7 linked regions of the Cricetulus griseus genome follow. The protein of the gene in region 3 binds, or shares a complex with, the protein of the main gene of each other region. Links are inferred from orthologs where the notes say so. Each region holds a gene or a part of one and is shown on either strand. Other genes may lie near its edges. The genes, in order: Cetn2, nucleoporin NUP188 homolog, Ranbp2, Nup98, Nup153, Cetn3 and Xpo1.

Evidence for each region.
Region 1: Ranbp2 (region 3) and Cetn2 share a complex: the UniProt entries of both Homo sapiens proteins name them as parts of the nuclear pore complex. The link is inferred for Cricetulus griseus from reciprocal best matches to the Homo sapiens genes RANBP2 and CETN2.
Region 2: Ranbp2 (region 3) and nucleoporin NUP188 homolog share a complex: the UniProt entries of both Homo sapiens proteins name them as parts of the nuclear pore complex. The link is inferred for Cricetulus griseus from reciprocal best matches to the Homo sapiens genes RANBP2 and NUP188.
Region 4: Ranbp2 (region 3) and Nup98 share a complex: the UniProt entries of both Homo sapiens proteins name them as parts of the nuclear pore complex. The link is inferred for Cricetulus griseus from reciprocal best matches to the Homo sapiens genes RANBP2 and NUP98.
Region 5: Ranbp2 (region 3) and Nup153 share a complex: the UniProt entries of both Homo sapiens proteins name them as parts of the nuclear pore complex. The link is inferred for Cricetulus griseus from reciprocal best matches to the Homo sapiens genes RANBP2 and NUP153.
Region 6: Ranbp2 (region 3) and Cetn3 share a complex: the UniProt entries of both Homo sapiens proteins name them as parts of the nuclear pore complex. The link is inferred for Cricetulus griseus from reciprocal best matches to the Homo sapiens genes RANBP2 and CETN3.
Region 7: the proteins of Ranbp2 (region 3) and Xpo1 are in contact, whole or in part, in a cryo-EM structure (PDB 9B62), measured with the Homo sapiens proteins. The link is inferred for Cricetulus griseus from reciprocal best matches to the Homo sapiens genes RANBP2 and XPO1. Residues at the interface, in NP_006258.3 of Homo sapiens: Val2508, Val2509, Ser2510, Pro2511, Pro2512, Lys2513, Phe2514, Val2515, Phe2516, Gly2841, Phe2842, Gly2843, Ser2845, Thr2846, Gly2847, Leu2848, Ser2849, Phe2850, Ala2851, Leu2853, Ala2854, Asn2857, Ser2858, Gly2859, Asp2860, Phe2861, Ala2862, Phe2863, Gly2864, Ser2865; in NP_003391.1 of Homo sapiens: Trp60, Val63, Asp64, Leu83, Asn97, Gln98, Gly101, Ile102, Lys104, Tyr105, Val107, Gly108, Ile110, Ile111, Leu134, Phe149, Asp152, Ile153, Gly155, Ala156, Ser157, Arg158, Thr159, Ser160, Glu161, Leu163, Cys164, Asn167, Leu208, Phe211.

Annotation. Positions count from the first base shown.
Region 1 is NC_048604.1:2,891,176-2,895,022, forward strand, and holds the end of Cetn2 (centrin-2), read left to right. Parts: intron 1-1,519; coding exon 1,520-1,657; intron 1,658-2,518; coding exon 2,519-2,608; 3' UTR 2,609-3,101; downstream 3,102-3,847. UniProt on the Homo sapiens protein: Plays a fundamental role in microtubule organizing center structure and function. Required for centriole duplication and correct spindle formation. Has a role in regulating cytokinesis and genome stability via cooperation with CALM1 and CCP110.
Region 2 is NC_048599.1:141,944,797-141,949,492, forward strand, and holds the start of nucleoporin NUP188 homolog, read left to right. Parts: upstream 1-1,670; 5' UTR 1,671-1,700; coding exon 1,701-1,732; intron 1,733-4,696. Other genes in the region: Dolk (dolichol kinase), read right to left, coding at 1-1,309. UniProt on the Homo sapiens protein: Component of the nuclear pore complex (NPC), a complex required for the trafficking across the nuclear envelope. Required for proper protein transport into the nucleus.
Region 3 is NW_023276807.1:2,653,685-2,658,337, reverse strand, and holds the start of Ranbp2 (E3 SUMO-protein ligase RanBP2), read left to right. Parts: upstream 1-1,595; 5' UTR 1,596-1,708; coding exon 1,709-1,780; intron 1,781-4,653. UniProt on the Homo sapiens protein: E3 SUMO-protein ligase which facilitates SUMO1 and SUMO2 conjugation by UBE2I. Involved in transport factor (Ran-GTP, karyopherin)-mediated protein import via the F-G repeat-containing domain which acts as a docking site for substrates.
Region 4 is NC_048596.1:97,257,301-97,260,202, reverse strand, and holds the end of Nup98 (nuclear pore complex protein Nup98-Nup96), read right to left. Parts: intron 1,460-2,902; coding exon 1,348-1,459; intron 1,248-1,347; coding exon 1,030-1,247; 3' UTR 818-1,029; downstream 1-817. UniProt on the Homo sapiens protein: Plays a role in the nuclear pore complex (NPC) assembly and/or maintenance. NUP98 and NUP96 are involved in the bidirectional transport across the NPC. May anchor NUP153 and TPR to the NPC.
Region 5 is NC_048596.1:266,427,333-266,431,877, forward strand, and holds the start of Nup153 (nuclear pore complex protein Nup153), read right to left. Parts: upstream 2,981-4,545; 5' UTR 2,453-2,980; coding exon 2,342-2,452; intron 1-2,341. UniProt on the Homo sapiens protein: Component of the nuclear pore complex (NPC), a complex required for the trafficking across the nuclear envelope. Functions as a scaffolding element in the nuclear phase of the NPC essential for normal nucleocytoplasmic transport of proteins and mRNAs.
Region 6 is NC_048595.1:302,239,200-302,243,095, forward strand, and holds part of Cetn3 (centrin-3), read left to right. Parts: intron 1-3,008; coding exon 3,009-3,200; intron 3,201-3,896. UniProt on the Homo sapiens protein: Plays a fundamental role in microtubule-organizing center structure and function. As a component of the TREX-2 complex, involved in the export of mRNAs to the cytoplasm through the nuclear pores.
Region 7 is NW_023276807.1:83,488,333-83,492,228, reverse strand, and holds part of Xpo1 (exportin-1), read left to right. Parts: intron 1-2,019; coding exon 2,020-2,148; intron 2,149-2,876; coding exon 2,877-3,035; intron 3,036-3,896. UniProt on the Homo sapiens protein: Mediates the nuclear export of cellular proteins (cargos) bearing a leucine-rich nuclear export signal (NES) and of RNAs.

The sequences.
Region 1 (3,847 bases), on a different chromosome or scaffold from region 3:
CCCTAATTTTCATTTGGCTTTCTTTAGGGTTACGGTATCACAGAAATCATTTTACCTTGTCTCATATGACCATATGATAATCACAAGCATTAAAACATGTTAACACAGAGATTTTCATATGCTTCTCATTTTTATTTTAATATTATTAAAATTAGATTAGCATACAATAAATCAGGTATTGTGACATTTTTCGGACAAATGCTTCTCATTTTGACAATTCAGTATGTACAATCACAGGCACAAGAATTTTGAGCTTTAGAATAGATAAGGTGTTTTGGTACTTCTAAGGTTCCTTTCATCTATTCCTAGTTTCTTAGATCCTTTTAGCAGACCAACTTTGCTCTTACATTGGCCTTCTGGCTTATTGGTGTGGCTCCTTCTCTCAGTATACCTGAAGAAAGGTTACCCTTTCAAGTTCCTCAAAGTGTTTCCCAGGCACAGGTTGGGAATTGTTTTGAAATCACCGTATCTACATCTGCATTCATGTATGTGCATGTGTGTACTGATTTAAGAGATCAGGAAGCTTGGTATTCTGCAGCTCTCTAGCAAATCCATTTCATACTCAAGATTGGCTCCTAGATTGCTCTAACTAGTTCTCTAGTTGTAACTCCTGGCAAGAACCTTCATTAAACATTTGAGGTTTAAATGCTTTGGAAAATTCTACTCTTTCTGTTAGAGTACTCAGAGACCCAGTAATTCTTTGAAGTCCATTGTGCAAAATGCCTCTCTTATTAAAAATGCCCTTATAAGTATATCTCTAACTTCTGTTAGCATTAGCAGTGTATTTTCTCTAATTATAACCCTATTTGCTGCTTTTAAAAATGTAAAAAAGAATCTAGAATCTCCTTGGTCTGTACAGTGTTTTAGATACAATTATATTTCCTTTGTAATCCCAGAGTTTATGTTAAGTTTACTGAGTTTGTTTTCTTTTTCTATAATGGGTCTTACTTTTTTCTGTAACTGAAGGCATATATCACAAGGGCTATCACCAGGACCATGTGATGATGTGTGATGGGGGCCAGGGAATTAATCGAAGAAGATAGTTTCCCTAAAACTACCCCCTTGGCTTTAGAACTGGGGAAAGTTCTGAACAAGACAAAGCAAAAGAAGGGCAATCCGTATAGATACCTAGTAATATCCAGTGTTGGGTGTTGGAAAGATGAGCCCCAGCTCATGTCAGAAGCCCTTGTCTTCTACCTGTGGAAACTGTCCAGCTGCCCTAGGACTCTGTCCTCCCTACATGTCTCATTGACCCCTCAAACCAATCCTTGTGCCCGTTTATCAGAACTTCTTGGCTTTTCCACCAAGCTGGCATCTGTTCTTACTGAATTATGAGCTGATTATGGAATACATGTTAGGATAGGAAGTAGACAGAGAGTACATTCCACCGTGGACCAGAGAACCTGACTTGCCTGCCTTCCTAACATGGCCCAGGTCAGGTTTTTGGAAACAAAAGGATGACCAAGAAGTGGCAGGACTGTAGGATATGAATAACTATCTGTTTTCTGTTCTACTAAAGTCCGAGAAAGACACCAAAGAAGAAATCCTGAAAGCTTTCAAGCTCTTTGATGATGATGAAACTGGGAAAATATCATTCAAAAATCTAAAGCGTGTGGCCAAGGAGTTAGGCGAGAACTTGACTGATGAAGAACTGCAGGTGCGTAAAGCTTCAGTTAGAAACTCGAAACCTCACGTTGGAGCCCCCTGGCTTTCCCAGGTTCTATTTTCTCTACTAGGAAAACTTCTTATGCCTCTAGTGATAATTAAATGCCCATGGACCCTGCTTCTGGAGTACACATGTGCAGCTGAATTTCCTCTTTTGGGTTTCAGGCCAGGGTTACTTTTCAATTGATACATTTGACAATATATGTGATTTGGTTTCAAATAACTATCATAAAAAGTGGCACACTCACATTAGATGGACCATAGTTATCTTTCCTTATAGCATTATTTGAAGTTTCTTTTTTTAAATTTATTTTTATTTAAATTAGAAACAAGCCTGCTTCACATGTCAATCCCAGCTGTCTCTCCCTCCCCTCCTCCCCCACATCCCACGAAACCCTCACCCCATCCCTGTTCCTGTACCCAAGGAGGGTGAGGCCCTACATGGGGGATTGCCAAATTCTGTCATATCATTGGGTCAGGGCCTAGGCTCTCCCCATGTGTCCAGGCTGGGAGCACATCTCTCCATGTGGAATGGGCTACCAAAGTCCATTAATAACCCCAGGGATAAATACCGGTCTACTACCAGAGGTCCCATAGAGTGTCGAGACCTCCTCACTGATACCCACATTCAGGGGGTCTGGATCAGTCCTATGCTGGTTTCCCACTATTAGTCTGGGGTCCATGAGCAATGCCTTGTTCAGGACAGCTGTTTCTGTGGGTTTCACCAGCCTGGTCTTGACCTCTTTGCTCTTCACATCTCCCTCTTTGCAACTGGGTTCCAGGAGTTCCTTATCTAACCTGTTTTCAGTTTAGTTTGTGACTTAATCTAAGATGAACCCTTACTGCTGTGCAGGAAATGATTGATGAAGCTGATCGAGATGGAGATGGCGAGGTCAATGAGCAAGAGTTCCTGCGCATCATGAAGAAGACCAGTCTCTATTAAGATCACTGCTTCTTTTTCTACTTCAAGCACATGTGACTAGATTTAGTGCCTGCCATTTTGTGAAATACGGCTTTTGAGAACCCTCCTTCCCCAACCTGTGGGTTAACTAGCCATGCCCCTGAATCTATTTTTGACTTTTGGAAGTTTCTTTGATATTAAGTTCTTTGTACATTTCCCTGCTGACTAATTAAACAGGGCAGAACAAGAGCACATAGTGGGGAAAGGGTGTGAAAGTGTGACTGCAGCCACTCCACTTTCCATTAGTTCACATTGCTTATGCATTTTCACACAGCTGCAAACACACAATGGCTTCTTAGATGTCCATGTAGCCATGTCACAATAAACAGTGGTTGTTCTAAAATTGTTCTAGTTTTTAGTTGACACCAGAGTGCAGTTTTTTCCTCACATAAAACCCAACGAATGCTTGTTATGGCATTTAGATATGTGTTAATGCATTTGTTTTGTTTTAAAAATAAAACTTTTCTTAATTTAAGCTCTCATTCTTTAAAGGGATGAGTGTTTTTAACCTTTAACTGTGATTTCATCTTGTAAACAATTCTGTTGAGGGCAGCCTCATAGATATACAAAATTTGCTATCAGCCTATGGACAAAAAAGGAATTAATTCTTTGCTACTTTTCTGCCATGGAAAGTTTCTTGCTTTCAAAAGTTATTTTTACAACTGATAGGATTTCCATATGACCTAAGCCCTAAAACTTCTTCCATCAAACTGTAAAGCTTAGAGAGTCTTCTGGGTAATTTGTGCTTGGACAAAAAGGAGAGAGCTAGACAGTAGTAAGATTCAGGCAATCTTGTGAGCTTATTTGCTTATAGCATCTCATAGCATCTTAGGATTGGGTTCAGAAGAAAAGGGGTAATATCCAGGAGCCCTCTAAGCCCTGCATAGCATTGCCTATGAGAGAAACCCAATTATGTGGCTTTAAAGTCAACTCCATGGTGAAAGTAGGGAACAAGGTGGGCTGAAGGGAAATAGAAAATGAACAATGATTGAATACTTATTGATGCTCATATGAGAAAGAAACGATGGGTTTTTAACTTAATGGAGGCATTCTAGTCTTCTGATGTGTGTGTGTGTGTGTGTGTTCGTTCCATGTATATGGAACAACAATAAAAGCCAGATAGGTGATCATGCTTGTAGTACATAGGTGGAGGAGTCAAGAGGATTGCCATCAGTTCAAGGCATGCTGGTGCTTCATAATGAGATTCAGGCCATTTTGGGT
Region 2 (4,696 bases), on a different chromosome or scaffold from region 3:
CCAGAGCTCTTGCTCCTCCCAGGCTGTCCTTCTGTGTACAGGGCCTGGGAATCAGCCAAATGGGAAGAGACATGCCCAGAAGCAGGTAGATGTGTGTTAGGATAAGGGGTCCACTGTCTCGTTCATCCAGGAAGAGAGACAGAAGGCTCCGAAGAGTGTGACCCAAGGGCTTGATTCGGAAATAGCGCACATATTCCAGGAAGATGAAGACGGCCAGGCATACCGTGGCAGCCACATATAGTAGTGGCCGGTCAAAGATGATACCTGGGATGTAAGTGGCTACCACAATGAAGTGGAAATACTTTCTCGTAATGGCAGGAGCCTTGTGTTTCTTGGACTCAGAAGATGACCGCTTGGCATTCTGGTACAGCACCACCAGGCAGGCCATGGTGGCCAGCAAAGACCAATAGGCTAGGAGGTAAATTCGAGTTTCTGTGTAGAAGAGGAACTGAAGAAGCCAGAGCAGGGGGTTCCTACGAATGAGCCAGTGCAGCCAGGGCAGAACCACACCAAGGCCTAGCACACAGGTCATGAGGTGGAAGAAGATGGAAGAGGCCCATGTGCCCGAGTCCATGAAGACAAAGAGGGTGCTGAAGAAGACACCCATGAGCACCATCCCTACCACCACCACCAACAGGAAGAAGTCCACTGGGTCCCCTTGGCTTTCAGTCAGAGAGCGCTTGATGAGCTGGTTGAGGACGAAGCTAATGCCACCTAATACCAGCAGTGCCTCCCCAGGAGTGAAGCATCGGGGCAGCAGGTACAGCAGGATCATGTTGAGATAAACAAATACCAGCAGGACTTCCAGGACCTCGATCACCTCGCCCACACTGAGGGAGTGCTTCATAATATAAATGATAATGCCTCCGGCCAAACCCGAGATGGCGCAAGTATTGGTGGGCACCGGGCGAGTGATGCCCAATGCCAACACCGAGGAGAAGAGAGCCACTGCCATGCCGGTGGCTGCAACCACAACGCCAAAGCGCTCGAAGTACGGGTTACCCGCAGTCTGGCAGCGTTCCTTCATGACCAGCCCAAGCAAAGGCATGACCATGGAGGCTGGCAGTAAGCCACTGTTCGCGGACATTCGGAACTGGAAAACGGCATTGCCTTGCTGGAGCAGCCGGTCCCACTTGTACTGAACGTAGAACGCCTGCACTGCGAGGGCCACAGCGCACCACGAGTATCGGTCCCACACCGCAGCGTGGATGCTCAACACCACTGCGAACACCACTGCAGCCTCCGCCAGCACCGAGCCACTCAGCGGGAACCCAGACTCCGCGACTGGGGGAGGGCACTGTCGGGTCATGTCTCTAGGCCTTGGGTTCCTGGGGAAGCTTGGTGACAAGGGATGCTTTGGCCTCAACCAGCCAAGCAGAGGGCAACAGCTTCACCCAGCCAGCAACCTTCTCCAACTTCCAAAAGTGTGCTCCACTCGGGCCACTCTGAGGCCTGGGAGCCTGCGCCCCGTCACCCTCCACCGCTTGCGACCTACGGTGTAGCGGATGTTTTGCACTCTTCACCTCTCACGGGCTCCACCGCCTCTACCGCGGACGGCTCTCAGCCCTGGGCAGCGCCATCTTGACAGCCCCATTCTGGGCCCGCCCCACCATCACGTGACGGAAAGTCCCGCCCCTATCGCAGGGGCTCGGTCACGTGGGCCCGGTGTATGGGGGCGGGGCTGGGACGCGCGCGCGAAGATGGCGGCTGCCGCCGGTGGGCCGTGTGTGAGGTGCGGAGGAGGGCGCGGCGGCGGGGGAGGCTGTGAGGCGCCGGGTGGGAGCGGGGAGGGAGTTGGGAACGGGATTCGGCGGCAGTGGTGGAGAAGAGGCCAGGCTGGGTGGGCGGACACTCGCAGCGGAGGCGGTTAGGTCCAAACCGTCCCCGCTCGCGGCGCTGAGGACACTTCTTGAGCGGGCCGGCCGCTCTCCCTTCCCTTTCCGTGGTCCCTGTGCCCTCTGTCGACCCACGCCGCACTCACGCTTCCTCCAGCACGCTCCCTGTAGGCACTGCAGAACATTTCGGGGTCGCATGGGAGACACCCCCCTCCCCGAACCTCGCCATATCGTCCCCGCGCCCTGCCCCGCCTCGGGCGTGCCTTGCCCACGCCGCGGGTTCTTCCCGCGGACGTCCTTAGTTCCCGCCTTCTTTTATTTTTGGCTGATTCCAGTTATTGATTCATTCAGCAGACATGCCTTCATCTTCCAAGAGATTTCGGGTAGCTGCGCCAGGCTTCAGACACAAGATGGATTATTACAAAACACACACACACGGTTCTCACTTAGGGAGTGCTTTTTTTTTTTTTTTTTGGAGGCGAGGGCTCCTGTATCACAGGCTGGCCTTGAACTCCTATCCTCCTGCCTTTGCCTTAGTGCGGAAAGTACGGACATGAATTACCAGTCTTGCTTGCCTTTAAAGAGCGCTTACTAGCGCCAGACCCTGGGAAAGTGCCTTGCAGGAATTATCTCATTCATTTCTGACAACTAGGAGAGAGAGGTGCCTCCTGTTACACATGGCTCAAAAGTCCAGTTCATACAGGGATAGTCCCCCTCTTCTGTGATAATCCCCGTGAGGATTCAGATTGAAGACTTGTCAGACTAAAGCCATAATCAGACCTCTGTGCTTATTACATCTTCTACATTACAGACCAGACTTCCACTCTTAAAACCTAAACATACTTGTCATCTGGAATTGACTCTGCTAGTTTCATTTGGTTTTGTTCCCTGCTGAACCATTAAACACGCAGACAGACATGTATATATCTCACACATCGCCTGTCTTTCTCTAAATCAGCCTCTTCCTTTGGATTTTCCTGTGGATAAGGTATGATCCTTGTGAGTTTGGTTTTCTTTCCTCTGGTGTTTCATGCTAGTCCTTGTATCCACAGTTATGGATACATACGTGTATGAAACGTTAAAAAAAGTGAATTTTTCAAAAGGAAAGGAAAAGTTTGGCTTGCTAGTAGGCTTTCATTCGTGTTGAGGAACTTACCAAACCCATCCTTGAGGCTGTTCTTTGACTGATTCTAGGGTTTTTAATTTTTTTTAAAGATTATTTATTATGTATACCGTGTTCTGTATGCCTGCACGCTAGAAGAGGGCACCAGATCTCATTACAGATGCTTGTGAGCCACCATGTGGTTGCTGGGAATTGAACTCAGGACCCCTGGAAGAGCACCAGTGCTCTTAACCACTGAGCCATCTCTCCAGCCCCTTATTTTTATTTTGAGGTCCTAGGGGAACAAACCCAGGACCTCAGAAATTCAAGGTAAACATTCTACTACCAAGCCACAACCTGAGGACAATGGAATTCTAGGCACTGTCTTGGTCTGTTAGCAGAGTGATTTTTGGCACTGAAAAGCATGCTTCCTAGCAGTTGGAAATAGTTGTCTCTATTTGAAAACCTGAGATCTGGATCAAGAAAACATCCATCTTGTTCCTTTTGTCTATTGCTTTGTGGTTGCCCTTAGAAGTCACCTTTCCATTTCAAGCTACTGCTTTTCCAAATGGGAATCTTTTAATCTTTTGTATGTGCAGGTGTGTGTGCATATGGAGGCCGTTGGGTGTTTTTCTTAGATCTCTATTTTACCAAGGCAGAGGTCTCCCTATCAATCTGGAGCTTGCTCATACAGCCCCTCTAGCAAACCATATTAGCCTCAGCTTCCCTCATCTCCTCCTGAGCACTTGTGTTGTTTTTTAGAGGCTTATTGAAATGACTGTGAAGCCTAATGTTCTGTGTGTGGTCTGACACTAACCCTCCTGCCTCAGCCTTTCTGCTGCTGCAGTTGCAGGTGTGTGCATAGGAATTGGCACTGATGACACTGGAATGATGCTCTTTAAGCCACTCAGAATCTTGTGAAAGTCACTCAGAATTTGGCAGAAAGTTGGTTTGAATATTGGATTGGCATTTTTGAGGTCTTTTGGTGTTTGGAAGTCTTGAGTGGTACAGGTGTGTGAGCAAGTAACGCCACGGTATGAAAAACTATTGCTATTGCTGGGCCCAGAGGCAGGCTAATATCTGAGTTCCAGGCCAGCTAGAGCTACACAGTAAAACCCCATCTCAAAAGAGTTAAAAGTCGGGGTTGGAGAGATGGCTTGGTGGCTAAGAGCATTGACTGTTCTTCCAGAGGTCCTGAGCTCAAGTCTCAGCAATCACATGGTGGCTCACAACCATCTGTAATGAGATCTGGTGCCCTCTTCTGGCCTGCAGGCATACCTGCATACAAAACACTACATAATAAACCTTTAAAAGCTGTTGCTGCAGCCAGGTGTTGGTGGCGAACGCCTTTAATCCCAGTACTTGGGAGGCAGAGGCAGGCGGATTTCTGTGAGTTTGAGGCCAGCCTGGTCTCCAGAGTGACTGCCAGGATAGGCTCCAAAGCTACACAGAGAAACCCTGTCTCGAAAAACAAAAACAAAACAACAACAACAACAAAAAAAAACCCAAACAAACAAAAAGCTATTGTTGCTAAGCTTAAATCTTAGTTTACAAGAGAACTGTGCCACTCCAATAGAGTCAAGTAGACAGTAACTGCATTTATTTCTATGTAGAATGCAACTTTCAAAAGGACTGTTTTTATTAGAATTACCTGGTTAGCTCAGTGTTCTCCAGATGGACTGATTATTCTTTTTTGTTGTTGTTGTTTTCTTTTTGTTTTTCGAGACAGGGTTTCTCTGTGGCTTTGGAGGCTGTCTGG
Region 3 (4,653 bases):
GGACCTGGTAATAAGGTCAATGCCCTGTAGACCTACAACATTCTAAGCTCTCGCCACATCACTGCAGTTTTAATCTTAGGTCTTTGCAGACACAGCTTCTTTTCAGAAATTCTCACAACTCTTGATTCACAACCTTGAGACTATTACTTTTTTTTCTTTTTTCTTTTTCTTTAAGATACGGTTTCTCTGTGTAACCGCCCTAGGCTGTCATGGAACTGACTCAATAAGTCAGGTTGGCCTCGAACTCAACAGAGATCCACCTGCCTCTGCCTCTCAAGTGCTGGGGGTTGGTTAAAGGTGTGGTCCACCACTGCCCGGCAAAACTATTAGTTTAAAAAAGATTTTAATGTTTGTGTGTATCTCAGCACGTGTGTGCTCGGGTGCTACAGAGGTGAAAGATTTAGACCCTCGGAACTGGTTAGGGGTGGTTGTCGGCAACCAGATATGGGTGCTGGGAACTGAACTTGGGTCCTTCGGAGTAGCCAATATAACTTATAATTTATTACCGCTAATTGTTAAGTCACAAAACAGGACCCCAAACGGCAGTGCTGTTAACAATGTCGTAGATGGCCGGCCGCCCCGATTCTCACCCGGGGAAACAGAAACATTTTAGAATTTTTTTTAAAGATTTATTTATTTATAAATAAATGTATACAGTGTTCTGCCTGCATGTATGTCTGCGGGTCAGAGAGGGCACCAGACCTCATCACAGATGGTTGTGAGCCACCATGTGGTTGCTAAGAATTGAACTCAGTACCTGCGGAAGAACAGGCTGTGCTCTGATCCTCTGAGCCATCTCTCTCCAGCCCCAGAAACATTTTAAATTCAGCATTCCTCAGAAATCTAAGGATCCTGGTTTGTGTTCGTCAGGAAAGCCATCACTTCCCTTTTTTGCCCCTAACGGTCTATTACGCCGGGAAAAGTGCATCTCACCATGTAACGCCAATATTTCAACCATGTTTGGTTTATCCAAACATAAAGTCTTGGCCCAGTATTAACTATTATTCTGTTGAAACGAAAAGACAATGATGAAGTTCGTCTCTTTAAAAGGAAATCAACTTTTAAAATTTGACTAGATGGAGCGTCAAAAAGGTCGGACTCTCAGGGCGCTGTCATTTTGGGTCCTCTTTGTGATGTACCACTAATGAAATATATAAAGAGTTTTTTACACCCCCCCTCCCGGGGGGAAGAGTTATTCACATTCGTTTGAAAAGGGGGGAATATATATATATATAGAGAGAGAGACAGACAGAGAGAGAGAGAGAGAGAGAGAGAGAGAGAGAGAGAGAGAGAGAGAGAGAGAGAGAGAGAGAGAGAGAGAGAGAGAGAGAGGAGAGAGAGAGAGAGAGAGAGAGAGAGAGAGAGAGAGAGAGAGAGAGAGAGAGAGAGAGAGAGAGAGAGAGAGAGAGAGAGAGAGAGAGAGAGAGAGAGAGAGAGAGAGAGAGAGAGAGAGAGAGAGGAGAGAGAGAGAGAGAGGAGAGAGAGGAGAGAGAGAGAAAACGGTAACGTGGTCTGAAGGCGGGAGGCGACAAACAGGCGCGTCAGACCGCAGCGTGGCGCACGGTGATGACGCGAGTCGCACGCGCCGCCCCCATCCGTTCGCGACGGAGCTGCGTCACCGGTGTTCGGTGCTCACCTCCTGGAGACAGCGGCGGCTGTAGGCCCCAGGGCTGGCCTCCCGCTCTCGGGGAGCCTGGTCGGCGGCGCGATGAGGCGCAGCAAGGCCGAGGTGGAGCGGTACATCGCCTCGGTGCAGGGCTCCGCCCCGTCGCCGCGAGAGGTGAGCAGGTCCGGCCCAGCCGGCCGGCCAGCCGGCGTCATGGCTCCCGGCGGCCTCGGCTCCGGCTGGAGCGGAGGCGGCCGCGGGCGGCGTGGCGTGGCGCTGCTGAGCACCGGAGGCGCGGGCACTGCGGCCGCCCGCGTTTCCTCTTCATGGCGGGCCGCGGGCTCACTCGGGCCTCGTTGCCTCGGTCTCGGCGGGGCAGGCCGGCTTGGGGCGCTCTTCGGGGCTCGCCTGGCAGCGGCAGGCGCCTTCGGCCCCCGGGATAGACAGATCCGGCGACGCAGGCCGTGTCTGCCCGGGAGGTTGACGCCGCCCGGCGGGGGGCTTTTACCGTTGTGCGGGTGGCTCCGTGGACATGGAGCGGACGAACAGCCGCATTCGCAGGGCGCGTCGCACGGGAGGCCCTTAATTGGAGTCTTCCGTTGCTGTGCCCCGCTCCTTACATCGCCTTTCCCAAAATCTCCTTTGGAAGCTATCTTGGCTTTTTAAAAAGTTCTTTTACTTAAAGGTAGAAGGTCAGAAATTTTAAATTCTTTACAGGCAGTAGTTGCTGTGCCTTAACGTTGCTAACGTTTTCCCGTAACATGTTCCGTGGCTGTTTTTCTAATTTTGAAATCATTCATGTGTTTATGATTATTTTATATTCTTCAAGAGGGTTCGCCGGTGGAGATGTTCAGAGGCTCTAGAGTCAGTTTTTCTGGGGTTGAAGAGTCGGGTTTTGCCATTTCTAAACTGTAATTTGATATAGTATAGACTTTTCATCAATAAAAACACAGTTTTGATTCATGTTAAACATTTAGGGCAACCTTGAAATACAGCGAGCTTCAGTTTATCTATTGCAAACACACAGTTCAGTTTGTCTTTTTTTTAATTCTGAAAAATAGTTGTCTCTAAGGGTTTTATGATCGTCCATTTATACAAAAATGCACGGATGCACAAGTCCCTTATGCAAACAGCATAGTTTTCTGTTACCTTTAATCTTTTCTTAGGTAGTTTGAAAGAGTTAGATAATCCAGTCCAATAAAAATAACCCCTCAAAACTAGAATCCAAAGTGATCTTAAGAAATTTCATGTTTAATGCTGGGCAGTGGTGGCACACGCCTTTAGTCCCAACACTTGGGAGGCACAGACTAGCCTGGTCTACAGAGTGAGTTCTAGGACATCAGGGCTGTTACACAGAGAAAACCCTGTCTTGGAAAACAAAACAAAATTCAACTTCATTTAATGCTGTATGCCACAGGGGAAATTTTACAGCCAGTTTCCTCTGATGTGTCAAAATCAAAGTTCCAGGGCACAAAACATTATCAAATGAAAATACCTTCAGGTTTCTGTGTATAAAGTCTACATTAAACAAATGTATTTATATTGACTTGGGTCTTGTCACCAGGATATCTCATATGCTTGAAAATACTTAAAAACCTGAAGGAAAAAAGCAAAACCCAGAGACGCTGAAATCTATTAATGCCAAGCATTTCAAATAAGGCATACTCAAATAATAGTACCTAATACTATAAAAATAGTTGTTAAATTTTGTTAGGAACAGTGACAAGCAAATAATTTGTATGTATTCAGTTTTGCTTTTTCTGTTTCTGACTGGCCTTGAAGTCACAGAGCCTTTGCCTCCCAATTGCTTGTGTGCACCATTGAAGGTGTGCACCATGCCCAGCTACCAACATATTTTTTAAAAATACTTTTTGATGTAAGATTGGTTGGGTTGGATAGTGACCAACTTGGAGAGCAACAACCATAAGAAAGTTTGTCATAACTATTTTCATTCATTGTTCACTTTTGTGGCATTAACACAGTGTGTTGTTTAACCAAAACCCTTTGTAGTTAAAAAAAAAAAAAAGTTATGCCAAACAAGTTCTGTAACCACTAAGAAATAATGCCACAGGCCCTTCTTTCCTGTGCTCCTGGTGACCTGTATTTTATGTTTTGTATTTTATGAATTTGGTTATTGATATTTCATGTTTGTAGGATATTATATTTTGTTCTTTTGTGTCTAGATCATTTCACTTGGTGTATTTTCAAGATCATTCATGTTGTGGCAGGTGTTAAGAGTCATCTTTTTTTTTTTTTTTTTTTTTTGGTTTTTCGGGATAGGGTTTCTCTGTGGCTTTGGAGGCTGTCCTGGAACTAGCTCTTATAGACCAGGCTGGTCTCGAACTCACAGAGATCTGCCTGCCTCTGCCTCCCGAGTGCTGGGATTAAAGGTGTGCGCCACCAACGCCAGGCGAGTCATCCATTTTTAATGGCTGAATAATAATATATATATATATATATACTTAGGTATGCCACATTTTGCTTATTCATTTACTGCTGATTGACATTTAGGTTGTTTGTATCTTTTGCCCAATACATACAATGTAGCAAACAATGATGTAAAAATATTTTAGTGTCTGCTTTTAATTCCCTTGAGTTTACAACAGGTTTTCTGAGGAGCCCTCAAACTCCTTTCTATAGTGACTGTACTTTCTTATGTTCCTGCTGTCAATTTATAGGTTTTCAATTTCTTTATTTTTTTTACCAATGTTTCAAATTCAAATTTATTATCTTATTTCATTTTACTGAGAGAGAGAGAGAGAGAGAGAGAGAGAGAGAGAGAGAGAGAGAGAATAAGCGCTCTTGTGGGAGTCAAAGGAAAGTTTGCTAGAGTTGGTTCTCTTCTCTTGGCCTAGGGATGGAGTTTAGGTTTGTGGACTTGAGGGAAAGGTACCTTTACCTGCTGAAGCCACGTTGCCAGCTTTAATTATCTTAAATCTTTAGTTTTGTTTTTTTGAGACTTTTTTTTGTTTTTGTTTTTTTTTTTGGTTTTTTTTTTTTTTTTTTTTTTTTTTTGGTTTTTCGAGACGGTTTCTCTGTGTAGCTTT
Region 4 (2,902 bases), on a different chromosome or scaffold from region 3:
AGATCATTTATATATATATATATATTTTTAATAAAAACCTTTACATAATCTTCATGCATAAAGACCCAGGGGTGGCCATATTATCTGTGACAGCCCCAAGATCAGCTGTCTCAGGCCATAGCCTGGGACTCCCCACAGCCAGCAGCAATGTGGTGAAGGCCTTCTACCTGTCCCTAGGGCCCAGCCAGGCCTGTCTTAGTGACAGTTTTACCTTCTGAGAATGTGGGTGAAAGGTGGGAAATGCTTGGTTAGATGGAAAGGCTGAGAGGAACACCTTTCACATTGTTTATCCAAACTCCTCTGGCAGATCCAGGAAAATGACTGATAAATCCAGGGCCATAGCAATTCAGAGGCTTCCCAGAGACACATTCTCTGTGGTCTGGGCCACTGCACATGATAATAGGGCAGGTATAGTGTCACAGGATATACAAGGCATGAAGAAAAGAGCCTTGAAGATCTCTGCTTCCATGGCAGACAGCCCCTTCTATCTTAAACATGTCAAAGAACAAGGTCCAACCTTCTTCACTCCCAAACCCAGTAAATCAAGAACTCTTCAGTGACAAATGTGTTAGGGGCAGACATTCAGGCATCTATCAGACATTTGTTTCGTCACCTGTCTCGCTCCTTTCAAGAAGAGCTGCAGTGGTTGAAGTTAGGCCTTGGCATGGGGTGTGTGCCATAAGACTCAGAACTTTGGGTGTGGAAAAGAATTCCCTGTTTTTTGGGAGGTTCTGCCAAAGAGGTTTTATTGACCATTTTTCAAAAGAAAAAGAAACTGAATGGTCTTCAAGTTGGTAAGTGGAGACTTGTTTGTTTGTTTTTTTTTTTTTTTGCTTCCAAAAGCCCTTGTACGGTATGTTCAGTATTAGGAAAAACCCTGAACAACTAGAAGATGCTGCACAGGGCAGCAGAAAGGGAGGGAGGATTCCACATCAACCCAGAGACTGGCGAACAGTGTCAATTCTAACAATGCTAGGGACTGTGTGTAGTGAGTGTGAAAGGGCATGAATGTGATGGCAAGAGCTGGGATCACTGGCTCCCAACAGTCAGTTCTCGAAGGTAGGACTGTGTGAGGCCACGGAGTTCCTCCAAGGCATAGTCCTCAGGCATGGGGAGCCTGCCAATGTGGGGAGCCAACAGACGCAAAGGGACTCGTTGAGGATCTAGTGTTGCATTGGAGGTGGCATCAGGAGCATGCTGCAGGCTCAGTACTACCCGAAGCAAGTTGGCAACACGCTTGGCCATATCTAGAGGGAAAAATCACAGTGAGTGCTGACGCCACAGTGTGGGTGCCATAATCATAAAGACAGCAAGTAAGCCACAAGCAAGTAGAGCCCACATGCTTACCTGACTGAGCCAGGCGGTCCTTGGCATTGTAACATGGAATCTGCTCTATCCGGTTGCATAGTGAGGTCACTTTGGTGTGTAAGTGCTCTAGTTCATAACCTGAGCAATCCACCTGCAGGGAAACAAGACCAGTAAGGATAAAAGAAACTTTTACCTCAGTCCACCCACAGATTACACAAAATCCCAATGACAACTGACAGGAGGCAGGAGAAAAACCAACAAGCTTGTAGCAGCACCTGTGTTACCGCTATGTCACCTAGTTGCTGAAGACAAGAGAAATTATACTTAGCCTTGGGCTGGACAGGTCTTGAGATCTTGACTCACAAAACACATCATTTTGACAAAGCATCAAAAACCTTTAGGGTAAAACTGGTTCAGAGAAACTAAGAGATGGTATTCAAACCATCATTTACTTTAATGTCCTTATTCTAAGTTCATATCCCTTACTAAAGCAGTGCAGGACCTCCTCAATCTATACACTCTCCTGATCCACCCCTATTGTTCTAATGATAGTCAATGCTAGCCCAATATACCAATCTTCCAGTTCCGGGGCATGGCTTTTGCTGTAGTGTGGGCCACCATTACTTCTCACCTCAAACTACTTAGGAGCTTAGCCATACTACTGTTAGTGGTACCCTCTACATCCAATTTGTGAGCATTTTATAACCATTTGGTTTTTGAGATCTAGTCTTGATATGTAGCTCCAGCTGGCCTGGCTGGAACTCATTGTGTATTACAGGCTGGTCCCCAACTTTCCACTATTCTCCTGCTTCAGCCTTGCCAATGCACCTGGCTCAGAGACATTAAAGAGAAAAAACAAACAAACAAACAAACAAACAAACTAATTTACTTTTATCCATTACTTATACTCTGAATACTTTGTAGCAACATCCTGTCTATTTGCTTCAACCTAGACTCTGTTATCCTATCTTTCTCACTGCAGAGCACCCAAGATCTCCAACCATCTCCCTTTCTACAGGTTTACTCAAGATGCTTTCCCAGATGCCTTTTGTCCATGGAACTGTGTACTTATTGTCTGTGAATGTGTTGCCATAGGAGCAGGTGTAGGTCAAAGGACAACTTGTAGGTGTCAATTCTCTCCTTTCACTGTGTCTGTTTTGGGGGCTGAACTCAGGTCCTCAAGCTCGACTACAAGCACTTTTATCTGCTGAAGCCATCTGATCAGCTCTGGAACTCACTTTGAAGAAGCCTTGCAGAATTCACATACTATTACTGACTTTAAACAGCAGCAAACAAAATGAGGTCTTTGCTTTCATGAACTTTACAAACAAGAAAATATCAAGTAGTAATTAACCTTGAAGAATCAATCATAAGCTATGATAAGCTGTGGGTATAAAGAAATTGGGTGTCTATTTCAGAGTAAGGGGTGTCAAGAGAAGCATCCTTGGGGAGACCAGATGTAAGCTGAGACCTTCCTAATAAGAGAAGGCCAATCCTTCCAGGTAAAGCAAACAGCCAAGCCCTGTAAGGTGGAGAGAGTTTACATGTAACACATGAGATAAAGAGGAAAATAGCAAGACAGAACTGGGAAGGT
Region 5 (4,545 bases), on a different chromosome or scaffold from region 3:
GCATTTTTTAAAGCTAAGTTAAAAGCAGAAAAATGCTAAAGTTTAGACATTACCCATCAGAGCTAAACCAGAAGTCAAAACAGGAAATTAGAAGTCAACTTAATCCAGGAATTACAGGTACTTGGTGACTGACGGCACTAGCTATTTGACCTGACATTGGCTGTCCTGCACCCACTAATAGTACCAGCCTGCTTATTCTTATTCTAACCTTCTACCCCACAACCAAAGGTTTCATATGCCCAGAAGCCCTGGACACTTATCAAACATTAGTACAAAACATGCCATGTCATGAAGCTCCTTTACTACATCCAGGGTGACTCAGCAGCTGTTGCAAAACATCCAGTGGACAAGCTCGATGAAGTCCACTAAAACCCAGGTAAGACTAGTTACTTTAAGACAGAAACAAAAACTGAGATGCATTCTTTTATGTAACCCTAAATACTTTTCTTTGGTGGTTTCTGCCAATATTAAATCCACTAATCGATAAACAGTTACCTTTAATCCCTGTTCAAAGTTAAGATATTAACTTTTAAATTAAATAGCCATGGCTACACACAGAGAAACCCTGTCTCGGAGGGGTGGGGTGGGGGGATTAAACAGCTGAGGCAAGAAGCTAGTATTTTAGCTGACTTAACTTACTGACTTAACTACTTAACCATACAGCCTGAACTCGGGATCAGTTATAAAAACAACTTGGGTTTCAATTGTTAGGCATCTTCTCTCCCAGATTAGATTTTTATCTGAGTACATGTAAAAAATAAGCTGTGACCATAATTTTGTCACTTTGAATATATCAGTTCCTTTCTAAATTCTATCCAAACCATCCATTTCTCTGCTCATTTTTCTTTCATTTTTCTTTAACAAGCATTCGAAGGTTATTCGTTATTCTTAGGAGAACGCTGCCTTAACTTCTGCTGCACATTAGGTAAAATAATATGGCCAGGCTTGGGACCTGATTTTAATCTTAAAATCTGTTGACAAATACTCCTGCTCCTCATCCTCAACACTCTGTACATATCTAGGGAAAACGGTAATAGTGACAACCCTCCCAACCAACAACAAATAACTTCTGAGGACATAACTATAGCTTTTACTATTCAAAACTTTTCCTCATATCTTTACTTTTTAAACTGCCTAAAGTGATACAATTTAACATTACCAAACAAAAGCGTTAAGTATTCAAATCTGAGCACTATCCAGAATAAAACAGAATCTACATTTGACAGTATGCAACAAACTATTAAGACTCCAATAAACTTGAAACGCACACTTCCTACTTTAGTTCACCGAGGTACTTTTAGGTGGCTTTGTTACAATAAGTTTTTAACATTTTCTTAAATTCTTACAAGCAATTTTTAAACCCTGAAATTTTTCTCAAAAACCAAACATCTCATTTACAACAGAAATCAACTTTTTAAAATTATAAACATCCACGTAGGCATAAAGTGGCTTAACTATTTGAGACCGCCAACACTCCTGCTGTGCCCCAAGTACCTTAAATTTCTAGAAAACGCCCAGCATTAAAAATACTTGGGTGTATGAGATCAGAGCTGGAGAACTGGTTAAGTGTAGAGAATGGCTGATTCTGGCCTTCAAAATACTGAGCGGGGAGGAGAGAAGAGAGGAAGAATCGCGCCGCAGAGACTAGACGTAAGAGCAGAGAGGGACTTTCAAAATGCCTTAGTGCCACAGTAACTATAACTCGGTTAAGACGGGAAGAGGAGGAGAAGCTAAGCCAGCGTGTCCAGATCTGGAAAGGCCAACCCAGGGAGATGAGGGGACCGGACAACCAGCAATGTCTTAATGCAGCTAAGACTGAATCACTATTATTCCACGATCCGGGGAACAGCGCCCCCTCCCCAAGTCCCTCTGGGCGGCGGCGGCGGCAACTACCCTCCCCACGCACCCAGAAGCCGGGAACACCAGAAAGAAAAACAAATAAATAAAGTAGATAAATAAAGGAAGCCTGCTAGCGGATGGGCCTGTTACCGCATCTCTTTCCCCTTATTCCCTCGCGAGGTCGCGAGTCAATACCATCAAAACCCCAAAACCCGCCAAAACAGAAACCCGAGTCTCCGAAGCCTGGAATTTCTTTTCCCGCCCAGCGCCCGCCGGGGAAAGCCCCTGGGCGGGAGAGCTGGGAGAGGCCGCTCGCACCCCACGTGTGCGCCGCACGGCCAGGCCCGGCCCGGCCCGGCCCGGCTCTGCCCACTTCCCGTCGCCACCCCGGCCCTGCCTCAGGCCCTCCGGTCGTCTGGTCCGCTCCACGTGGGGGGAGCCGGGGCCTCGCACCGCCCCCCGCCCGGAGCCGCCCAGCGGCCGCGGCGTGCGGGTCCCGTACCTGGTGCTGGGGTCGCCCCTGCTGGTAAGGCTTCACCGGCCCCTGGTGGCAACGACGCGTCCGGATCTTGCCGCCGCCGCCCCCTCCGATGCCTCCGGCTCCCGAGGCCATGATGGAGCCTGGGCGGCCTCCCACTCCCGCTCCCGGGCGGGAGAGGCAGAGGCGGCGGCCTGAGGGCCTCCCCCGCCCGGCCCTAGGCGACACACAGACACAGCGAGAACCGCGAGGGAGCGAGCGGGAACTGAGAGTGCGCGCACGCCGGCGGCGAGGAAGGCGGTGGCGGCGGCTGAGGGCCCCGAGCTGGCTGCGGGCGGCAGGCCGCGTGCGGACCCCCGCGTCTGTGTTTGTCACCGTCTCTATGGAGATCTCCCGCCGAGGCCGGCGCGAGCAGCTCCGGGCGCCGCTGAGGCCTAGCTCGACCGCCGGCTGCTGGAGGCTCCTCTTGAGCCGCCCTGGCCGTCGCTGCCGCAGTCCAGGCCGCTGGCGCCGCCCGCCTACCCCTCCCCTGTGCGCGCTGCGCCCGCCCCGCCGCCGCCGCCGTCGTCGTCCCTGCAGTCGTCGCCGTCGCCGTCGCCGTCGCCGCCGCCGCTCTTGCGCCTATTACCGCTGTTGAGGCCGCCGCCGCCGCCGCGGTCGCGAGCCAGAACGCCGTCAGTCCTCGGCGCCCGACGCGTTTGCATCATCACGCTGCGACGATGGGGGGGACGGGCAAAGGAAGGAAGGGTTGGTCGAGCCCGCGCTCTCGGCCGCGGGGACCTCTGGGAAGTGTAGTTTTTCCGCGCAGGAACGCGGCTTCTGGGAAAGGCAGGCTGTCGCGGAAGGACACCCGCGGAGTGCCGCAGAGGCACAAAGCCCCGGTCGTTTGGCGGCAGTTGGCTTGCTTGTTTAGATTCAGAATAGCAGCACTCGGCATGGAAATAGTAATCTCCTCCCATTCATCGATATAAGCGGAATGGAAGTAAACAGTAAAATCGAAGGACGACACTGTGTCTAAATAGAGGGAAAAAAACAAACAAACAACAACAAAAAACTGCTTTTAAAAACAGTGACCGTGATTCCCTAGGCCTACATAACAAGTAGAAAAGGCGTTCGGCTTCTGCTGGTAATCCCAGCGCTTGGGAGGCAAAGGGGAATGAATGGTTAGTTAAAGGTTAGCTTCGGCTTCACTCTGAGATTGTGTCTCAACAAAGGCAAAAAAAATACAACTTCGTTACTGTTTCAGTAAACATTTAAGGGCTTTGTTGTCGGCGCACCGGCTGCTGGCAATCTGACTTGCTTCACTGCTTACATACTTGACCTTGGATGACTCCACTATTAAATAGTTGCTTTAAAATCCACCTTATAAAGTTGTGAGGAGCTAGCGCACTCATCTGTGGAGAGCACTCGGTAGACTTCCTGGTGTACAAGAAACGAAGCAAACGATTGCAACCATAACCTATGCAATCAACGTACTTAAGTAAGGGTGACGACTGCATTCCTGGGAAATAATGTATTTGCTTCACCTAGAATCAGGAAGGTGAATAAACAATGTACCTTCAAAGGCTGGATCCATGGTGTTAAGAGGCAGGAATTAGACAAAAGGTCTGTGTGATCATGTGATCCAGCCTATTCATTCAATGGGCTATTTAGAGACCCAAAGAATTGAAGGGGCACCAGTAAGGATACCGAGTAGGGCACTCAAAACCATGACTATAACCCAGTTTTCCATAAGACCTAAAACAAGTAACTAGATGATAAGGAAGAAGAATTAATTTTGAAGAATCACAGACTTAATATTCCGTTTGAGATCATTGTTCTAAGATTATAACAACTATAAAAGCAAATAGATGATTGAAATCTGTCACTTACTAGCTGTGTGGCCTTGGGGAGGTTACTGATCCTCTTTCTAAGCTTCACTTTCCTCATCTGCAAATAGAATGAATGTTTACCTCAGCGGGGACATGGTTCCGCTTATACTATAATAGCTGTTCCCAAAGAAAGCACTGAGGACCAACCAGAAGTCAGCTACCAAAAGTAACTGCCAGGCCCCCAAATTGTATAATTCAAATCACTATTAAAATCAAATTAATAAAAAGTTACTGTACCTTTGAACTCATAATATCTTTCAGCACGCACAACAGTGCTGTAACCAGTTGGTACGGGTTTTTGTCTAACCTTAGCCACAGAGACAAGTAGCAAAGATGATCAAAAGAATTCACTTCTCC
Region 6 (3,896 bases), on a different chromosome or scaffold from region 3:
GCCGAAGTTGTCAAACTGTAGGCCCGGGACTGAATTTGACTGCTTACTCTGTACTACCACCCATTTATTTATGCTGCTTTTCTGCTACCAGATTGAGTGAGTAGTTTAGACTGTGAGCTTAAGTCTCCCAAAACCTAAAATGTTTTTCATCTGGCCCTTTATGGGAAATGTCTCTCAAGTCTTCATCGGAGGAACTAAGCCTTTGCATAGGGGAATTTTAATTTAAATCTTCAGGAATCTAAAATTGCCAAGAAGATTGTAAGAGTAGAGGATATGCAGTCGGTGCAGAGAAAGCAACAAGGCTGAGTGGTAATAGATGCTCAGCATGTTGGAGAAGTTTGATCTCATGTGGTCCCCTCTTCTAGAGAAGGTCAGAGCACTGGGAAGGCAGAATTGGGCCAGACTGATAGTCTTAAGTATTGTACTAAAATTTACAGACTGGGATACCATGTTTTACAAGAGTAGCTGATGAGAAGATTGAAGATGAACTGGAGAAATTCTGAGAAGACAGAAAGTTGTAGACTTTATGGTCAGAATTGCTAGATGAAAAGAAAGGCTTGAGTTTGAGAGTAAAATAAGATAGTGTCTTCAGAGCTGTAGTATCCAGTGGTAACTGGCACTTATGGGATCCAAAGCCTTACCACTATGTTAGAGTGAATAAATGATGCAGTTACCCTTCAGTCAGTGGAGGTCAAGGAGGCAGCAAAGCCCATAGGTGGCTATGGAAGGACTTGAAGGTCCAGTATCTATGAGTTTGAAATAAGTATTGTATGTTTGGATAGGAACTTTCTAATATTGTCTTTCATGATTTTTGATTTACTTTCAATGTAGTGCTTCAGAATTAGTTGTTTCCTTACATGATTTTTATAACGTCTGATGGGAGGACATTTCTGACAGTGTAGTTAAGTCATGTGTCTCTGTAGTTGGTTATAGTGTGCTTTATGTCAATAAAGTGCAGTACTGCAGTATGAAAATTAAAACAAAAAGTGGTTGAATGGATAGAAATTTGGAGTTTTGTGAAACAGGTGATACCTTGACTGTGTGGGTATTAACTGCTTTAAGTCCTCCTACTGGATTGTAGGCAAGAGCCATCATGCCTGGTTTGTTTCTATTGAAAAAGATATTTCTTTCAAATAGTACTTGTAGAACAGAAATGGAAAGTGAAGGTGTGGAAGAATATCACTGTAAAATACTTTATGTTGGATGACGCTCTAGTTGCTCAGAATTTATGGGCAGTTACAAGTCCTAAGAAAGCTGAATTCTAAAGGAGACTATTGGTAGGTGATTATATAGACACATCTATCTGAAATTCTAATAGAGTGTCAGTGGGTAAGTGCTTGTGCATCTTGGCGTCCCATCTGTTGTTTCTTTAAGTGCATTAGTATTTTCGGCAGTCTGCCTTTCTGGTTTACCTGTCATGGATGTTACTTAATCGATGAAATTTCATAACACTTTTTTCTTGTCCTGCTTTCTTGTTGGGACTGAATTCAAAATAAGTTGAGTGTGTGCCATAGAGTTAAGTGTGGTATTTTATTTTGGTGTTATGGCTGTAGGTATGCCAATTCTTTTTACTGAATATTTATGAGCTTTGATTTGCATACTTAGAGTAATATACTTCAATTAGTTTCTTGGAAACCTTTTTTTGGATAAAATTAATGGCTAAAAGATAATTTTGGATATATGTGTAGTTGATATGTACCATTAGCTTGACTGGTGCTTATTCAGCCAAATACAAATGAAATAGCAATAGACAACAACTTGTAGAAGACTTAAATTGTATTTTTTCCACTTTGGGCATATTAAACATTCCAGTACTTCCTGGCTATAGGCATTTGAAATTTTCAAATGAATCTATAGATCCCATTAGGACCAAATTACTTTTGATGGTGTGATGAAAATAATAAATGTCTTTCCCTGGAGCAGAACAGCATGTGGAGTTGCTTCAGAACTGTTTACCTAGATATTTTGAGAATTCTATTAAGCAATATCAAATTTTATAGATGTCAATTTTTATTGACTATTGATTAAAGGCTTATGATGTTGAAGTATACATACTTAGTATGTTGATATGTGGCTTTGTTTAATATATTAAGTCTGAAATGATTCATTTCTATTTAACTAGTTTGAGAATTATTATTTTGTTATATTTAAAAAAGACATGATTTAGACCCCCTTCCAGGGCTGTGGGTTGTGTGATCAGGTTTAATTGTTTTAATCCATCTTTAGTGTTGCTGAAAGTCAACAGGTTCTTTTAATCATGAAGATGCTGATAGCACTTGCACGTGCTAACTTGTTTTATGCTTGTATTAGTGGTGGCAATATCTTTGATTAATCCCTACATCTGAGTTGGGTTAAATTTGAGGAAGAATCAAGGTGTCACTTGGCTAACAGTTTTCACCTACGTAGTGTTCATTGTTCACTTAAACTCAGTGGCCTGATAGAGGTGGAATAGTAACTTTTGAAAAAATTGTTTTATGGACTTAATTATTTTATGTGTTATATTTACTGATATGAGTGTCTTGTTCACATGTGTCTTTGCATCACAGCAAACGTGGTGCCTAGGTCAGAAGAGGGCTTCAGATCTCATGGAACTGGAATTATAGACTCTTGTGATTTGCCATGTGGTTGCTGGGAGTTGAACTCATATGGTCTTTAAGAACAAGTGGTCCTAACTGCTGAAGCATCTCTCCATGCCCAGTTTAATTCTTAGTAATAATGGGATCAATATATATATATATATATATTGTGTGTGTGTGTGTGTGTGTGTGTGTGTGTGTGTGTGTGTAGTCTCTTTTTTGGCCTTTGTACTTACATTTGTAATATTTATTGACACTAAAAGATTACCATTTAAAGTCTGGCTTTGGAATTAGTATTATCTCTGAGTTTGTGATCTACCTTTATATTTAACTTTTAGATGGAATGTTGTCAGACTCACAGATCTCACCTCATTTAATAGCTGATTTTTAAAGATGAATGCTCTCTGACTCAAAAGTTTCTTTTAACTCTAGTGACAGACTGGATATTGGAAAGAGACCCACATGAAGAGATACTGAAAGCATTTAAACTATTTGATGATGATGATTCGGGTAAAATAAGCTTGAGGAATTTGCGACGCGTTGCCAGAGAATTGGGTGAAAATATGAGTGATGAAGAACTTCGAGCTATGATCGAAGAATTTGATAAAGATGGCGATGGAGAAAGTAAGTTTTGCCTTACTTTTTTTCTAAAATCTGTTGAGTTTTCAAGACTCCAAGCAAATTTTCTCTCCCTTCTCCCCCACATTTTCTTTCTCTTTTGTTTTTGAAGATGAGCCTCATGTTGCCTTGAACTTATTTCAAGTTTGATCTTGAACTGATAATCCTTTTGCCTCAGCCTCCTGAATAGATGGGAGTTCAATTGGGTGCCAAACTCTGAGCTTCTATTTATACTGAAGCAGATCTTTAAAACAGCTATGCAAGTTATGATATGAAATATTACACATAACTTCTCTGAAGATGAAATAATACCAAAATGTAGCTGCTTACTAAAATTTCAGACTTTCATGCTTTCCCTCTCAACCTGCTTGTACTTTGAACTATTACTAAATTAGTTGATTTTCTTTCAATCAGTTCTAATTTTTTTGTAAACATTTTTTCCTGCTACTCTGATTCAGGCCCTGATTTCTATTTAAAATATTACTGAATTCTTTCCCTGACTGACTATGAGGTGCAGTGCTCAGTGTGTCTCCCACAGACACATAGGTGTATCTTATAGTCTTCCCATTGCCTTCTGGACTTAGAAGTCTCCAATCTGTTTGTTCGTTCTACTGCTAATATTCTTTCCTTAAACTGCAATATAAGGTTGTCGTTTCTGTGTTCAGACACTGATGAGAAGAGCCTTTACTACCTGCTGAGTAA
Region 7 (3,896 bases), about 81 Mb from region 3:
TACCCAGTCTCAAAACAAAAGGTCAAGACAAAAAGTAAAGTGAAGGCTGGAGATTGTAGCTCAGATTCGATTCTTGTTGCTGTCAAAAACAAACAAGATTTCTATATTGGGTACAATTAGCATATTGCTTTCTTTGGATTGAGTCACACAGTGAAGTGTAATTCAGGGGATAATCCTATAAAGTAAAAAAGAAATTTGTTTACATGTATTCATTTTGTATGTAGTTGCCTGTCCCCAGGATCAGACTCAGATCGTCAGTCTTAATGGCAAATACTTCAATACTGGGGCCATGAAAATCTCTTGCCTGAGAAATTTGAATACCATACACTTACTAATTACTGCTACCTGTAGTTGGAGTGTTTCTCCAGAGCATCTGCTCCCAAATTACCAGCTGCTACTTCCCAAGTAACTGACTCCGAGACTTAAGTTATAACTGCTCTACTGATAGCTCAGGCTTGTTACTAGCTAACTCTTACATTTAAATTAACCCATATTACTGTCCATGCTTTCCCACATGGCTCATGATTTCTTACCTTATTTTCTACATGCCTGCTTCCTGGGCAGCTAGCTGGCATCTCTTGACTCATCTTTTTCCATCCCATCATCCTCAGTTTGACTTTCCTGCCTAACTTTATCCTGTTTAGCTACTGACCAGTCATAGCAACATATATTCACACAGTGTACAGAGGAATCTTCTGTAGCAGTTACCAGTGCATTGTATTATCTTGATGAATGTTATTGGGATGTTTTTTGAACCTTAGTAAAGCTAGATTAGTAACCAGTGAACTTTGTAGATCAGTTATTAATAAATCCCAAATCAACCACCAAGGGTATACAGAATATATACATCCTAAAGACCTTATTTTGGGGGTTGTGGAGGGTGGTAAGGATATCATGGTTTAAGTTCATCTCATATTCAATGTAGGTGATGTGTAAGTTGATGGTGACCCCCTCCCCATTGTCTATTCTCATTCCTCAGAGTAGGTTTTTATTGTTGTTGTTTTTAACTATTATTAAGATGGGGTTCTCAAGCCAATCGCCAATCAAACATAAACAGTAATTTAGATCCTGGGAAAGTTACTGAACAAGTTGTTTTTTTAAATTTCAGGTGTACTAAGGATGTAGTTCCCTATTTGCTAAGTGTGCACTGTAACACATAAAATAAAAACCTAGAGACAGATACTGGGGTTTAAGCTTCAAGCTGAAGATCAGAAAAGCAAAGCAGCCCAGCCAGCCATTAGCTCTCACCTCTACCTCAGACTAAAAGGGCTATCCTGTCATCAACATGGCTGGAGACTAATTCTCACATCAGACCCTTTGCTTCTTCCTTTTATACCTCTCAAATCCTGGGATTAAAGGTGTGGGATCCCAACCTTTATGTGAGCTGTTTTCTTTTTAGACTGGATAAATCTCATAACTCAGTGTGGCCATGAACTAACAGAGTAGTCTACCTCTGTCTCCTGAGTCTTGGGATTAAAGGTGTGTACCACCACATAGCTTCTATGCTGACTAGTGTGGCTGGCTTTGCATCAACTTCAGAAAATCTTTATTAAATCATAACTAATATATCACCACAGTGTACAAAGCAATAGGCTTAATCCCCAGTATCCCTATACCTGTGAAGCAAGTAGAGAGTTCAGAAGTGTAAAGTCATCCTCAGCTTTGTAGCAGTTTTGGTCTTCATCTGGGCCTCTCAAAGAAAAGCAAGCATTTCAGTACTTAGAGTATATGGTGTTTTATTTTGTGGGAATGAGTTTTGACTATGCATGTGTGCGTGCTATATATGTATCACATGTGTGTCTGGTGCTCTTGGATGTCAGAAGGAATAGACATAAGAAGAGAGTGTTGAATCCCATTTGACTGCTACTTGTGAGCTGCCTTTGGGTGTTGTTGGGAGTAGAGCCTGGGTCCTCTTGAAAAGCTTTTTAACCACAACCAGCTTTCCATCCCTTACCCTCCTTTGTCATTTTTAAAATAAATGTCTCTTGTTTAATTTTGCTTTCTCTTTTAATAAAATAGTTCCTGAATGTTCCAATGTTTCGAAATGTGTCCCTAAAGTGCCTCACTGAGATTGCTGGTGTGAGTGTAAGCCAATACGAGGAACAATTTGAAACTCTGTTTACACTTACAATGATGCAGCTAAAGCAGGTAATATACCACTATTTTGAAAACTGAATGATTTTAATGCATTAGAAATGGGAAGATTCATGACCAATAGCACTGCCCAATGAACAATAAAAAATAATAGATTTAAACTATAGAATAGTTAATACAGATGAATTGTGTGATTATATGTACATTATATAAAATCTTGAAAGTTTTATTTTCTTCCTTGAAATATTTAGGTTTTGCTCTTTGCCATTAAAGGGTCAGAAAGGGACTTTTCCTGCCTCTCTCTTCCTCTCTGTCTTTACATCTTTTCTCTTTCCTTATTTCTTACCTCCCTCTCAATAAAACTTTCAAAATGAAAAAAAAATATTAAGGGTTTTGGCGTTACATGATAACTAGAAATTTGAAGGTTGAATTTGATTATACATTGGGAAATTAGGAACCTGATAGGACCAATCTCTCCCTCCTCAGTCCTCAACATTGCTTGTCTAAACTAGACAACCTCTTCTCTAGACTAAGATCTGTTGGTTATCTAGGAAGATAAGCATGATGTTGTATTACTGTTTGCCATTTGAGTGTACCTTTATATTTTTTCTGTGTCTTGAGAAAAACCTGACAGAAAAATTCAAAGAATATAGCAGGCAGCGGTCTAGATTGGCCAGAAATACAGTGCAGATTAATGTCAGCAAATAGGGTTGTCATTTTAGAGTTCAGACTGTTTTCTTGTGGTTTTGTAACTTGTTTGTAACTTGGTTTTTAACTTCCAGATGCTTCCTTTAAATACTAATATTCGAGTTGCATACTCAAATGGAAAAGATGATGAACAGAACTTTATTCAAAATCTCAGTCTATTTCTCTGCACCTTTCTAAAGGAACATGGTCAACTTTTAGAAAAAAGACTGAATCTCAGGGAAGCACTCATGGAGGTAGGTTTGGCTCCTAGTATTTGTCTCTTCAAAGCAAAAATAAAATAAAATAAAAGGCTCTTGAATATGTGCCTGTTCTCTACATGGATTTTTGAGACATCTTGCTTGTTCTCCACCTGTATGCTTTTTGTGGTTTTGTTTTTGAGTCACGATACTTTTATTTAACCTTGACTGTCCTGGAACTTCACCGTAGAGCATCACAGAGATCTGCCTGCCTCTGCCTCCCTAATGCTTGGATTGGATTAAAAGCATGCCCAGCTGCTTTAGCTGCTCTTATACTATCTCCTAGGTTGTTGTGGAACTCTGTAGGGCAGTCTGGTGTTGATCTTTCAGTGAATCTAGGTGCTGAGATTATAAGCATGAGTATGCCTTGTTTCCAAAACAGATTCCTGCTTTGATATTTGGGTCTCTGTAGTTTTGGCAGACAGGCTGACCTTGAACATATAGACAGACATCCACCTGCCTCCCAAGAACTGGGATACAACTATGCCTGACAATTTTTTTTAATTGGAAAACTGTTAATATACAAAACATAAAAGCCAGACATGTCAGTACTGTCCGTGGGAACTCACACAGGGAACACACACAATGTAAATACCATATTTGGGATAGCCTGTATGAATCTAATTTTGAAATGTGCTCATGCTAGTAATCTCAGCACCTGGGAAGCTAAGGAGTGAAGATTCCCAGAAGTTCAACACCAGAGTTCCACACCAGCCTAGGAAATGGTTTTATTGTTTGAATATGTGTCTGAACAGTATAACCAACAGTATACTGTTTCCTAACATTTTTAACATCTCCACAGCAAATTGTGTACCCATGTTTTGTTTGAGACCAAGTCCTCTAGTCCTGATTTGCACT